Regions from separate parts of the Mus musculus genome. Here all the other regions are reported to be linked to region 1. Evidence: microRNA targets listed by miRTarBase, many of them from high-throughput screens and not tested one by one. Region 1 holds a microRNA gene; each other region holds the end of a gene's coding sequence.

Region 1 (4,150 bases):
CAGGGGGTCCCTATGCAAGCAGATCCGGGTGAAAACACAAGAAGGCCTGTGGTTAGACTAGCAAAGAAGGGACATATGCCCATTTCCCATTCCGTCACTGAGGCCAGAGGGGTGGGTCTCATGTTCATCTTATGGATTGGGGAGGAGGTCTTCAGGATGCTCCATACCCACACATGCCCTGGGCTGCATGATCTGCTAAGTCCATCTCCTCCCTCACAGCCGGGTCCTCGGTGCCCACTCTGCTACAGTCCCAGGAGATGCCTGGTCAGAGGAGGTCTGCTGTGCAGAGGAGGCCTGCACATGTGGAGGGTAGTAACGGGTTAACTGGCACCCCTGCCAGGCAGCAGATCTGCATTCTCACGGAGGCCTCAGGGGGACACAAAGCTGACATGGCAACGAGGGGAGTCAGAAGGGAGTTGCCCAGGGGGCTCCGGGGCACAGCACGGCCCCAGCAACCCAGCTGCGGTGGGGGCTACTCAGCCAATCCCAGAGAGCTGCGAGTGGAAGGGTTGGGGAAATAATTACCGAGGAGGCTGGGAGGGAGGCGGGGAGGCTGGCGAGAGGCTTAATGAAACTGCTAACGCGTTAGTGATTCCTGCCTGCTCGGAGAGGCGGAGGCAGACAGCCATGTTGCCAGCTCCTGCAAGGAAGCTGCCAGGCGGGACTGGCTGGGCACGCAGAGGCAGCAACAATAGGCACCTCTGCACCATCGTCTTTCAACACGTGACTCTCAAAGGGCGATCTTAACATATTACAATTGAAATGACAGTGTCCTCCAACGTGCATGTAATTGGGCTGGGGGCCATTCAGCAGACTCACTGAAGATAGGATCAGGTTAAACGCAACTAGACAGCTAAGGGCTGGTGAGAACTGGCTGTCTGGTCCCATTTTCCAGATAGGAAGCTGGGAACCCTGGAAGTCCCCATAGGGAGCCTGGAAGGTTCCAGAAATTGCCCAGCCCTCTAAGTCCTTCCCACCACTCCCATGTATTTGTAGTCTCAGAAAGCTCTGTAGGGACAGGTAGACAACACAGTCCCATGAAAGATGCCCCCAAAGAGTCAGGAGGGACGTCACAAAGCAAAGCCGCTGGGGTTGCAAAGAGAACTCAGGGTTCTCTTCCCACAAGATGGGCATTTAACAGCCAATGTGATCTACACTATAGTTTTCAGTCTGTGACATCTCGGGTCTCCAGACGAGAAAGGAGGCACAGAGATGTCAAGCGCTTTGCCCGAGGATGACTACAGGGCCACGATCCAAGAACAGGCGCTTCAGATCTCAAACCGTGGACTTTTGTTCAAACATTCCACAGGGTGCAGAGGGTGCTAAGTATTCCCCCAGCTGGCAGCTAGAAAGATGGAAAGGTTCAGACAAGCCACTCCCCACTTCTCCAGAGTGCTGTAAATAGCACAGGTTGCCAGGAGGCACACAAGAGCCATTGGGGAAGCAGCCTGGAGTCATCGATGACCACAAAAACCAGTGCCTTCTCTGCTGCGTTCTGCACCCCCCCCCCGCACGAGTTAGCATGCGACTCCCCTACTCCAGGACCAGGAAACAGGGACACAGAGGCTTGGAGGAACGAAGCTACATGCCTTGGAAAGTGACCCTTGGAAGCTGAACACAGAGGTGCACACTTGTAATCCCATGGAGGCAGGAGGATCAGAAAGGGGTTCGAGTCCACCTTCTACTATGTAGTACCAAGGTAGCCCGGGCTCTGTGAGACTGTGTCTCTATGGGCCCCTCACTGGTGGGAGCCCGCCCATCCTACAAGAAGGAGTCCCTCTGGTGTTCACCTACACCCTTACAAACCAAGGAGGTACAGACCTAAGGCCGGTGACCCCAGTTTAGGGCTAAGAGACACTGGGCAAGGGGTGGGTTCTCCAAGAAACTCAAGGAACTGTGAACTCAGAGGACTATCCATCCCTTGGATGGGCAGTCAGGTCTAGGAGCCAGGTGGGCCAGGAACTCAGTGACTAGGTAGTCTCCCTGTATCAAATCTGGTCTAAATAAGGTCTATGTGAGAAAGCAATGCCATTTCTCCTTCAATAGTGCCTTTAGAACCTTCCAGGCAGCCTTCTGCCTGGGGAGACTCTCTGCAGGGTACCAGCTGTTCTTGAGGCCTGATTATTTGTTCCTGGGTCTGTTTCTCTAGAGGAGTGTCAAAGGGTAAGGCTACCATTATGCGGATAAGTCCCTGGGACAGTAGATTCTTCTGAACAAGTGAGAAAGTGCGAGAGAGATTTGGGGGGGGGGATGACACAGAGAGAGACAGGCTCACATATGAGAGAGAGACAGAGACAGAGAGACAGAGAGAGACAGAGACAGACAGAAACACAGACAGAGACAGAGACAACAGAGACAGAGATACACAGAGAGACAAAGAGAGACTAATGCACACTCACACACATGAGAGAGAGATAGAGAGACATTGAGCAGAGAGGGGGGGAAGCAAGGGAGGAGAAGGGAGGGAGAGGGAGGGAAGGAGGGAGGGAGAGAGAATATAATAGACAATCCAATGTTTCCACCTGCTGCTGCCGCCAGGCCCCCAGGGGCGACTGTTCAGGGATCAGATTCAGCTCCTGACCACGAAAAGACCTCTTACTAACACTGGTCCTCAGCAATTGTCAAACCAGGAAACTGAGGCTTACCTGGCCCTGGACCTCACAGGACTCAAACCCACACACAGCCTGGCCCTCCCGCTCGATTCTATCCACGTTGTTTTTGTAAGGCACGCCTCCACACGGGGCTCTCTCATTGATGCCCATCCCCCACCACACCCCAGGGGGACAACCAGACAAGGACCCTCCAGTGAAGAGCATAAAGCCCAGACCAAGGTCAGAGTCTCCAGGACATACAAGGTCTCAAACTCAGATAGCTCCTCCAATCCCTCATCATCTCTGCCACACGCCAAAGCCGCCTCCTTCCCCATCATCAACGCAATAAAGAAGGAAAGGGGGGAGGGGAGAGGAAAGTGGAGGGGAGAGGAAAGGAGGGGAGCCCCCCACAGCCCGCAGCGGGCTCCTTTCTGGTCAGGGGAAAAGCCTCTAATGAAGGCCCTTCGATGCCGCTGAGCTGGCGGTGTCAGCCTGGGAGCCCCGCAGAGCTGCGGGCCGCGCATCTCTGCCCCCAATTAGCACTCAGGTCCTCCATCAAAGCGTGTGCCTGCTGCCAGAGGCAGAGGCCACGGGGACGGCCCCTCCAGCAGTGGGAGGAGGCCAAGGCTCTCCGGCAGGCCCTGGCCTCTGCCCCTTGCCTTTTGGTGGCGGGGGTGGGGGGTAGGGGGGCCTAGCCACCACCTCTCACCCTCTCCAATCAGCCAGCTCAGGGCAGACGCCGTCACCCCGGGGGACGCGCTAATGAAGATGGCCGACATTAATCTCTTCCCTCTCCCGACAGGTCAATTTATAGTTCCATGGGGAGCCCTGGCGCCCAGCCAGAGGGCCTGACATAACTCTCCCTGCTCCTGAGGAGGACATGGGGGGTGGGCTTTGATAGGCAGAGGGAGCCGGTGGTCCCTGGAACCTGTCTTCAGTCTAAGTATCCACCATTACTACCCCCAGCAAATACAGGTGGCAGAGAACCAGGAGGGCACCTGACCTGGAGGGCTGGGGGTGACTGGCTGCCAAATCGATTCTGGGTCCTCAATTGGGCACCCTCCTCAGCAGGAGCCCTGCCCCCTAAAAGAGACAGGCTTTCTGCAAGTCAATGATCATCTACAAGTGTGGGATCCTCTCTGCTCTTGCTCAAGTGCGTTCCTCAAAGACCATGAAGCAGGCACAGGAGTCTAGCTCTGACTAGACCCTGGAGACCCATCAACCTAGTCTCCTGGAGCTCCCAGGCTCCTTGGGGGTTTGGGGGGGGGGACACAGACCTGGAAGCCTCCTACCACTCTAAATGCCCTAAAAGGAAGGAGTTTCCAAGAGCTGGGGGTACCTTTGAGAGGGTGCACACAGTCTACCTGCCTAATAGATGAGGGATGGGGTGGGGGTGGGGCGGGGCAAGACACAGTTGGGTGCTGAGGCTTAAGGGGTGGTATTCAAGGGAGCAGGCTATCTTAGGCAGGGAAGACCCCAGAGCAGAGGATAAATGGCTCACAGGGCGTTATGCTGGTTGTGTGCAGAAGAAGCTGAGAAGCCCGGCCTCAGGGGACTCT
Region 2 (4,000 bases), not on the chromosome of region 1:
AACAATCTGTTACACTCTAAGACCTACTCCAGTAACCACGCCTAAATCATTTGAAAACTCAATGATGTTACCTGATCATGGAAAATAGGGATAAATCTAAGTCCCCAAGGGTCTCCTGCCTGGAGTACACAGGTTCCTTCATGCCTTTCAAGGGTGGCAGCTGCTCCCTCCAGTCTACTTTAATCAATGATATTCATTTAAGCCTCCTATTCTCTGCCTTACAGTAACATATACAACAATGATCTAAATGAACACCATAGAAAGACTACTGGACTCTGGATTTTCAGAGCCAATTCTCAGAAAAAGACAAGAAGGAAAGTAGAGAGCCCCATGACAGCACTTGACACACTCAAGTGTGGTCTCTGGTGATCATCTGACTGCTTGGATGAAGACATGGTGTGGTGTCTGTGGAGCAGCATCATGGCACGTCAGCAGGCTACAGGGACAGTGAGAGCAGCAGCAAAGCACACAGTCCTACGCTCACAGAGAACCAGCCTAAAGGTAGATGTCTTCAGCCACATCTGCGAGGGAAAGACCCGAGGCTTTGGGACAGCAAAGCTCTGCACTTCTCTTCTATCAGACAATCTATCACAGCTAGTGTGCTGAAGTAAAATAGCCAAAGAAATAGGAAAAAAAAAAATAAAACAAAACAAAACAAACCAATAAACACACACCCAACAGAAAGCAAGACATTATCAGAAAATTCAGCTGTCATTTTGGCAGCTGTGTTTCAGGAATTTGTGACTGTCTTTGAATCAGCTGGGAAGAACGTCAATGACTGTATGCAAATGAATAAAATGTCCATATCAAAATACAAAAGCACTATCAACAATCACCTCTGACTTTCAGGTTCAGATTCAGTGCAATTGACAAATGCATCGCTGAAGGAAATGCAGCTTAGGCATACTCAAAAAGTTTGTGTCTATTCTTGGGAGCACGTTTAAAAATTATTGCACAGTTTTTTTATTTTTATTATTATTTTTTTAAACAACAACAGAGGCCAACAGATGTGACCCTCTTGCAGTAAAAGCAAAATCTCAAGTGGCAGACACTCAGCATTTTAGAATTCCTACAGAGCCACAGAGCAATGGGTTCTAAATGTCTCAATGTGATAGAACCCTGAAAACACCTGGCACAAACCATAGACGACTGCCTCTCTGGATGCAACTCTTAATATTACAGTATCATAGACCCCACTAACAAAATGGGGTAGATATAACGATGTATGGTAAAATGTAAGTGTATCCATCCTCTTTACCAAAAGCAAATGCCACCCTACCTTAATGAAGCCAAGACTGGCGTCAATCAACGCTGCTTTGTAAAGAACAAGGCAGCAAAAACAGAGCAGCAAAGCTGCGGGGCTGGGTTAGAGCAGTTTCGTAGAACACAGGGTGGGATTCAGGAGCCAAAGGCCTCAAAATAACTACTGACACACATAGTGTTATAAATTTGCTAAGCAATTTCTTAATTAAAAATTTAAAGATATAAATTTGACAACTGTTCTTTCTCTTCAGAACCTACACTCCTGGGTTCTTCCATTAATATCGACTATCCTGTCAACCACCTTCACAAACACAGCCTCTGGTGAACCTTTGTAGGTATATTTTACTTTTAGCTGAACATAAAGAGTCTGATTGAAGCCGGCCGTGGTGGCGCACACCTTTAATCCCAGCCCTCGGGAGGCAGAGGCAGGCGGATTTCTGAGTTCGAGGACAGCCTGGTCTACAAAGTGAGTTCCAGGATAGCCAGAACTATACAGAGAAACCCTGTCTCAAAAAAAAACCAAAAAAAAAGAATCTGATTGGATACCTATATCTTTAAAAAAAAAATACTTGATATAAACAAGAGTAAAAAACATGATATAGTAGTGATTATAGTGGAAACAAAACAGCAGCTTAGATCTACAATGCTTAAGTGCAGCTTTGGCGCCGTATATGCAGGCAGAGGGATAGCTCCAGCCACACCTCTCCTAATTTCCCCATCACTGCTACCCAAACATAGCTCAAAGCAAGCCTTTAAAAACTGTTTTCAAAACTAAGGTAGCAAACATTTAGCCATGTAATGGCAGTGTTATATGCTGCTGTAACCTTGCTTTGTAAAAAGAAAACTAACATGAGAGATTTTTTAATACTGGAATCTGGTTACATTACATATTTAAGCTTCTATACAGAATGATGGACACTTTGAGAAGCTAATCCTTATCCAGAAATATTTTAATCTCTTAAGAAACAAAGTAAAACAGACAAATGGTAAAATAAAAAATAAAAATAATAAAATAAAAGCCCCAAACTATGTTGCTCCTTCTCACAATAGTGCACATTTTTAACCATAATTTAGTTATGGCTACAAAACATCAGAAGATTATTATTTAGAAAAAAAAAAACCAAACTCTTCTTTATGGTATTAAAAAAAAAAAAAAGTTGTGCCCTTCTAGTCTTTAATTGGCAGAAATATGTCCCCAAAAAGAAACTATTTTAAGCGCTCTCTCTCCTCCCCACCCCTCTCTCTCTCTCTCACACACACACACACACACACAAAGAACTAAAACAAAAAACCCAGAAACCCAAAACAAAGATAACATAACACCCTTTGCTGATGTGTCTTAGAGAGTGACATGACGGAAGTCATGTAGTTTCCTATTATTCCAATTCCCTCCATAATATGCACCTATTGAGTTATATGCTCTGGGAGCCATCAGATGTACCAAACATCTACCTCTTCCAAAGAATGCAGTAAAATATTTTTAAGAATTTTTTTGTTGTTTAAAAGGTGAGAAAAAAAAGCAAGATAATGATTCACTCCCTTACTTCATGCATCCATAATCTAAACCAAAACAAACTTGGAAGCAAGAACCAACTACTGCCGCAAGCTTTTGTTAAGTCCATGTTCTCTGTACATACAAACTGCGCACTACTGAGGGGAAAAAGAATATAATCCATGTGTCTGCTGATTCAAAGGGGGAAACAAGGCTGTCATTAATATTCAAAACTGGGACATGTGTGGTTTGCTCTTATAACGCATATTCCTTCTCTTCTGGTTTTCATATCCAAACTTCTAAACGCTACTTAGGGGCACAGCAGGTTAGATCCCAGCACTTGGTGAGCAGAATTCACAAGCTGGGATGAGACTGTCATCTTCAGGGTACAGCTGTGTTCATATATACTGCATGTATATATTTCTCTTAGATTTGGCTGTAGTGGACTGGCCATGGTTCAAGTGGGACTATAGCAGTATATGGGTCAGGGATAGTCTTGTGGCTATGTACACATTCATAGTCGGTCCATGGCTTCCAACTAGTAACGCTATTTCCGAAGGTCTAAGACACAAACCTGTAAGAGATGACAACAGTCAGCCAGTATCAAGAAATCTACCTTACATTGCAAGCTTAACTTCTATAAAGAATACAATGTAATTTACAATCTAAGATGCAAATTCATAAAATCAAAGTAACAAATTATGGAAAGAAACCTTAACTGATGAAGGACATCGGGCCAATATGCTGTGATGTGATCACTACCAAGCTACAGTAACTGAGGAAATGCTGCTCAAAGTTTTAGGTTTAGGTCTTTAAAGTCAGTAAAAGGGGGATGGGGAACATACAGAGCAGACTCAGGTCTGAACACAACACAGGTGTTACGGGGTCATCTCAACAAACAGCTCTGCTTTCCTCTCTCCTGCTTTCCCTGATTTACAACGGGAGAGGCTATACTACCTCCCCCGGCCCCCCAAGTATCTACTAACAACATCCTGAAGGTCAGTATTAAATATCTCCCCACAGAAATCAGCCTCCATTCTTCATCCTCCAACACTCCACTTCAGAGGGGAGAGTTGGGGAAAGGGCTTTAAAAATACCATTTAGCAAGAGATACTTCATTACATTTAATTCCACAAATGGAAGGTTACATTGAAAATCACTCATTACTTGTTTGAGTCTTCTTTGGCAAAGTCACCCCTAAGATTTACTTATACAAATGTAATGAGCATATTTAGCACACAGCCT
Region 3 (4,000 bases), not on the chromosome of region 1:
AGGGCTCGTGATGGCCCAGGTGTCAAAGATGGGCCCCTGGTTCTCTCCTAGGGCTGTGGGCTTGGGCTTTGGGGAGCCGATATCAAAAGACCCCACCTACGCACTTAGTGGTGAAGCAGAAAGCAGATAAAAGCCAAATGGGTACCAACAGAAACCAAGGGAGGGGGCTGGAGCAAGGCAGACCTGTGCCCACCCATCACACGTGGTCACGACTCCTGTGGAACACTGGGGGTAAGATGTCCCAGGACTCTCACCAACTTTGCCTCCTGCCAGAACTCCCAGGCTAAGCCCCGCCCCCGTTCCTCCTGGGACCTCTGAGTGGTCTCTCAAGGCACATTTACTCTCTCCAACCTCAAACTTCCCCAACGTACACCATCCTTCCCAGCACCCAGGGCTAAGGAGGCTCTTAGTAGGGCAGCTCCAGGGCTCGGCAAGATGTGGTGCTGCCGTAATTTGGTTGAACTCTTTCCAACACAGCCCTACCTCTCCTGCCCGCAACAAGGGAACGGGAGCAGGCAGGAACACGGATGGAGGAACTGGGCAGGCAGCTTATTCAAGGATGAGGCCCGCAGGACCGACAATAATCTGACCTGTGTGACCTTGCTCCTGAGGAAACACGAAGCTTGCTTAACTAGAAGCTACTTGGGAACCTTCAGCCCCACCAGGAACAGCTGTTCTGCCTACCTTTGTGGGACTCGGTCTCAGTGGGGTGAAAAGCAGTATGGGGTGGGGAGCGTTTTAGAGAGGGACAAACTTCTGGACCCCTGGGGCCTGCCACAGTTCCACGCCTTCTGCTTTCTTACTAAAACATGTTTACTACATCAGATACAAAACCAGAAGATCCAGGGACACACAGAGCATAGCTCCCCAGCGGGGCAGGGCGGGGCAGGGTGAAAGAAGGGGATGCGTCTTCCTCTACACCACCCCCTCCCCACCCCAGAGAGCCTAAAATCCTTCACAGCTACCCGGGGATGTTCTGGAAATCCAGCTGGGGCAGAGAAAGAATCAGACTCCATCCTAGCGAGAGCAGGAAGTTTCAAGTAACTCCAGCTGGAGGGAGGAGGAAGGGGAGGAGGGGGAGGAGAGAGGGGGGCGGGATGGCTGCTTCTAGAATGCAGAGGGCTGATGTGACTGAGCCAGGGACCAGAGGATGGTTGCAGAGGTCTGAGGAAGGGAGGGAGGAAGAAGAGGATGGGAGCAGGTGACAGTCACCCGGAGAGTCAGAACTGTGTCGTGGAATGAGAAGCACTTTATGGAGCTTGGTGACATTTCCGTATTCCCCCCGAGGAGATGACGATTAAGGTGGCCATTCCAGGGTGGCAGAAAGGAATGGGAAGGAGGAGGCTCTTCCCTAAAGTCCAACCGATCAATACTCAGTGGATGTGACCAGCCAGTGCCCCTGAGAGGCTGGGGGAGAGCCAGACTGGGGCTTTGTCCTGGAAGCCTCAGCACAAGGTCCCCAGTAGCTAGCTGCCCAGCCTCTTCCACCACACAGGGGGCTGCCCTCACTCTTCCTGGGCATCAGGGTGGCCCTCGGGTATTCTCTCTCTCATTCTCTCTCATTCTCTCTCTCTTTCTCTCTCTCTCTCTCTCTCTCTCTCTCTCTCTCTCTCACACACACACACACACACACACACACACACACACACACACACGTATACGCGCCACACACACGTACGCGTACCAAAGGGTATCAGAGGCCCAGGTAAGGAATTCTTCATCAAATATATCAAGGAAATTTCCTTTGAGAGGGGGAAGTGGGGAGCAATAGACACACAAAACCCCACAGGACATCTGGGTAAAAGCCCCTTCCACCCGGCCTGGAGGTCTGAGGGCGTGCTGAGGCATGGCATCAGGGCCTAGCTGCTCAGTGTGGTCCCCTCTGATAGATACACCGTTCTCTATTCATATATGCTATAGGGCTTTAAATAGAGTCTGGGGCATGGTTCTTCTAGGGCCATCTTGGGGACCCTTGAGACAGAGGAAAGTCATGGCTGAGAGGACTAAGGCTTTGGGGCCTCTCCTCCAGGACCTTCTGGGCACAGGAAGTCACAGCTCCCCGTGGTTCCTCACAAGGGTCTCGGGGACACGCCCTTCTATTGGTCGGGGCAAGAGGGAACCATTTCCTAGAGGGTCAGGGAGAAGGTGAGCAGACACGGGCTGCTTGCTGGTCCTCTGCTCCTTGGGACAAGGGGGACCCTCGCCAGGGAACAGAGAGTGCAACTGCAAGCCCTCATAGCAGGCTACTCCAAATCTCAGCTATATGATGACAGTCCCCATTCGCCAAGAAAGCAGCCCAGAGCCCCATGAGGCCACAGGTGCTGACTGGGTTAATCTGAGGCCTGAAATCAAGGGACCCATTGTCCTCTGTCTCATGATTTCTGCCTCTTCTGCTGAGCTATCTCTGGTTACTCGGGACTAGGTTGAGAGATAATCTATCAGGGATGTCCATGCTTTTGACATTGTGACAGAGGATTAACTCCTCAATCCAATTATCAACAAACAAACTAACAAAAAACAAACAGCAACAAAACCCCTGTGTTTTAAGTAAGTTTACCTCTTTGTGTTGGGCCACAGAGACAGCTATGCTTAACCACGTGCAGCCCAAGGGCCATTAGACACACCTGCGACGAGCTCTTCGGATGTCAGGAGACGGATAGTAAGCCTTGCTGTGTGTACAGGTCCTGCCTCATCACCACAAGACCGTGGTGGGGCTTTCATATCAAATCAGCCCAATTTGGGGAGGACGCTCAGCTTTCAGCTGCCTGCCCTCCCTCCCTCTCCCTGGCCTCAGAAGAGGAAGGAAGAAAGGCAGGATGGGGTAGGGCTGATTAGGCAGGGCAGGGATTCCAGGTGTTGGGCTGAGGGGCAGGATCAGGGACATCTCATTGATTTTGGTCTGTTAGTGTATCCTTGTGTGTGAAAGTGTGCATTTGAAAATCAATAACATAGGGACCTTTGGGTGACTCACATCACACACACACACACACACACACACATCTCACATACACACATCTCACATCACACACTCACATCTCACATCATACACACACATCTCATATCACACATACACACAAGCCACACTCCCCAGTCCTCCCCCACTGGAGCCAGGGTCCTCCGCACTGACTTCCGGATCCATTTGCTAAGTTGCCTGCTGTTGTCCAGGTCTCTTCTGGCCTGTCTTTCTGGCCGTCGGCACCCTGGCCTGCCGAGGCCGTCGAGGGCTATCTACCAGATGTAGCCTCCATCATCTGCCTCACCCGCCTCACCCTCCTCCTCCTCGGCCTCCTCCCCTGCCTCTTCTGTCTCCTTTTCTTCCTCATCCTCCCAGCCAACGCCGCTTCCAAAGTCCCCGGAGAAACCCACGATGTCATCTGTTGGGAAAGCACACGAAAGGCCGGTAAGGAACCCACACACTGTGTCTACTTTCTGAGCCTGGAGTCCTGCCCCACGTACGCCACCCTGAGAACTAGCCGCATGCTCCTTACCACAGTCAGGGGTCCCATGCATGCGTGTGCCGGTCAGCTCCAGGCCCAGCTGGTCCACACACCAGCAGTCACCTCTGCTCTGGTCACACTGCATCTTCCGGTAGTAGCCATCTTCATCACAGCTCGGGATGAAGACACCTGAGGGTTAGGGCAAAGAGCCCGTAGTGTGGGCTCTGGAGTCGTGTGCGAGCAGGGGCCTCGATGGCCTGAGAACCTGGCCAGCTTGGTACTGATACCCACCCCCTAAGAAACCAGACACTCAGGGCTACTGACTGGAAGCACAAAGCTTCCTTCCCCAATGTCCCTGTGTCACATGCTCAGGCTTCTTCAAGGATGCTATCAAGTGCTGGTGTCATGGCCTTCATCTTGTAGGACAGTCTGGCCCCACATGTTAGAAAGCTCGATCCTATTCTTGGTTTTGTCTCCAGCTAGGAATGTGGAGTTTCTCTTCCTTCTTCGGGGCTCACTCATTTCTCTCAGGTCCCCAAACTGTCCACAAGGCATCTTCTGAG

What was found. The annotated mature microRNA mmu-miR-3080-3p reads UCCUCGGGCAAAGCGCUUGACA and lies in region 1 at 1,214-1,235, opposite strand. An mRNA with a match to its seed (bases 2 to 7 or 8) in the 3' UTR can be bound and repressed. Matches are read on the target gene's strand: a 7mer-m8 pairs with bases 2 to 8, a 7mer-A1 pairs with bases 2 to 7 and ends in A, and an 8mer does both.
Region 2: the mRNA of Tbl1xr1 is a reported target of mmu-miR-3080-3p. Seed matches in the 3' UTR shown: 7mer-m8 at 1,674-1,680.
Region 3: the mRNA of Spock2 is a reported target of mmu-miR-3080-3p. Seed matches in the 3' UTR shown: 7mer-m8 at 1,532-1,538.

The regions. Positions count from the first base shown.
Region 1 is chr15:82,958,015-82,962,164 of GRCm38, forward strand. It overlaps Mir3080 (microRNA 3080), which reads right to left and starts at 1,282; the gene lies at 1,204-1,282. It also overlaps a transcript of Tcf20 not described here.
Region 2 is chr3:22,209,730-22,213,729 of GRCm38, reverse strand. Tbl1xr1 (transducin (beta)-like 1X-linked receptor 1) reads right to left here. Exons shown (of 16, transcript NM_030732.3): 16 at 1-3,329. The coding sequence ends at 3,303. Among named protein-coding and RNA genes, the nearest start is that of Tbl1xr1, 140 kb to the right of the region's middle.
Region 3 is chr10:60,130,710-60,134,709 of GRCm38, reverse strand. It overlaps Spock2 (sparc/osteonectin, cwcv and kazal-like domains proteoglycan 2), which reads right to left. Exons shown (of 11, transcript NM_052994.2): 10 at 3,489-3,626; 11 at 796-3,374. The coding sequence ends at 3,229. Among named protein-coding and RNA genes, the nearest start is that of Mir6906, 5.9 kb to the right of the region's middle.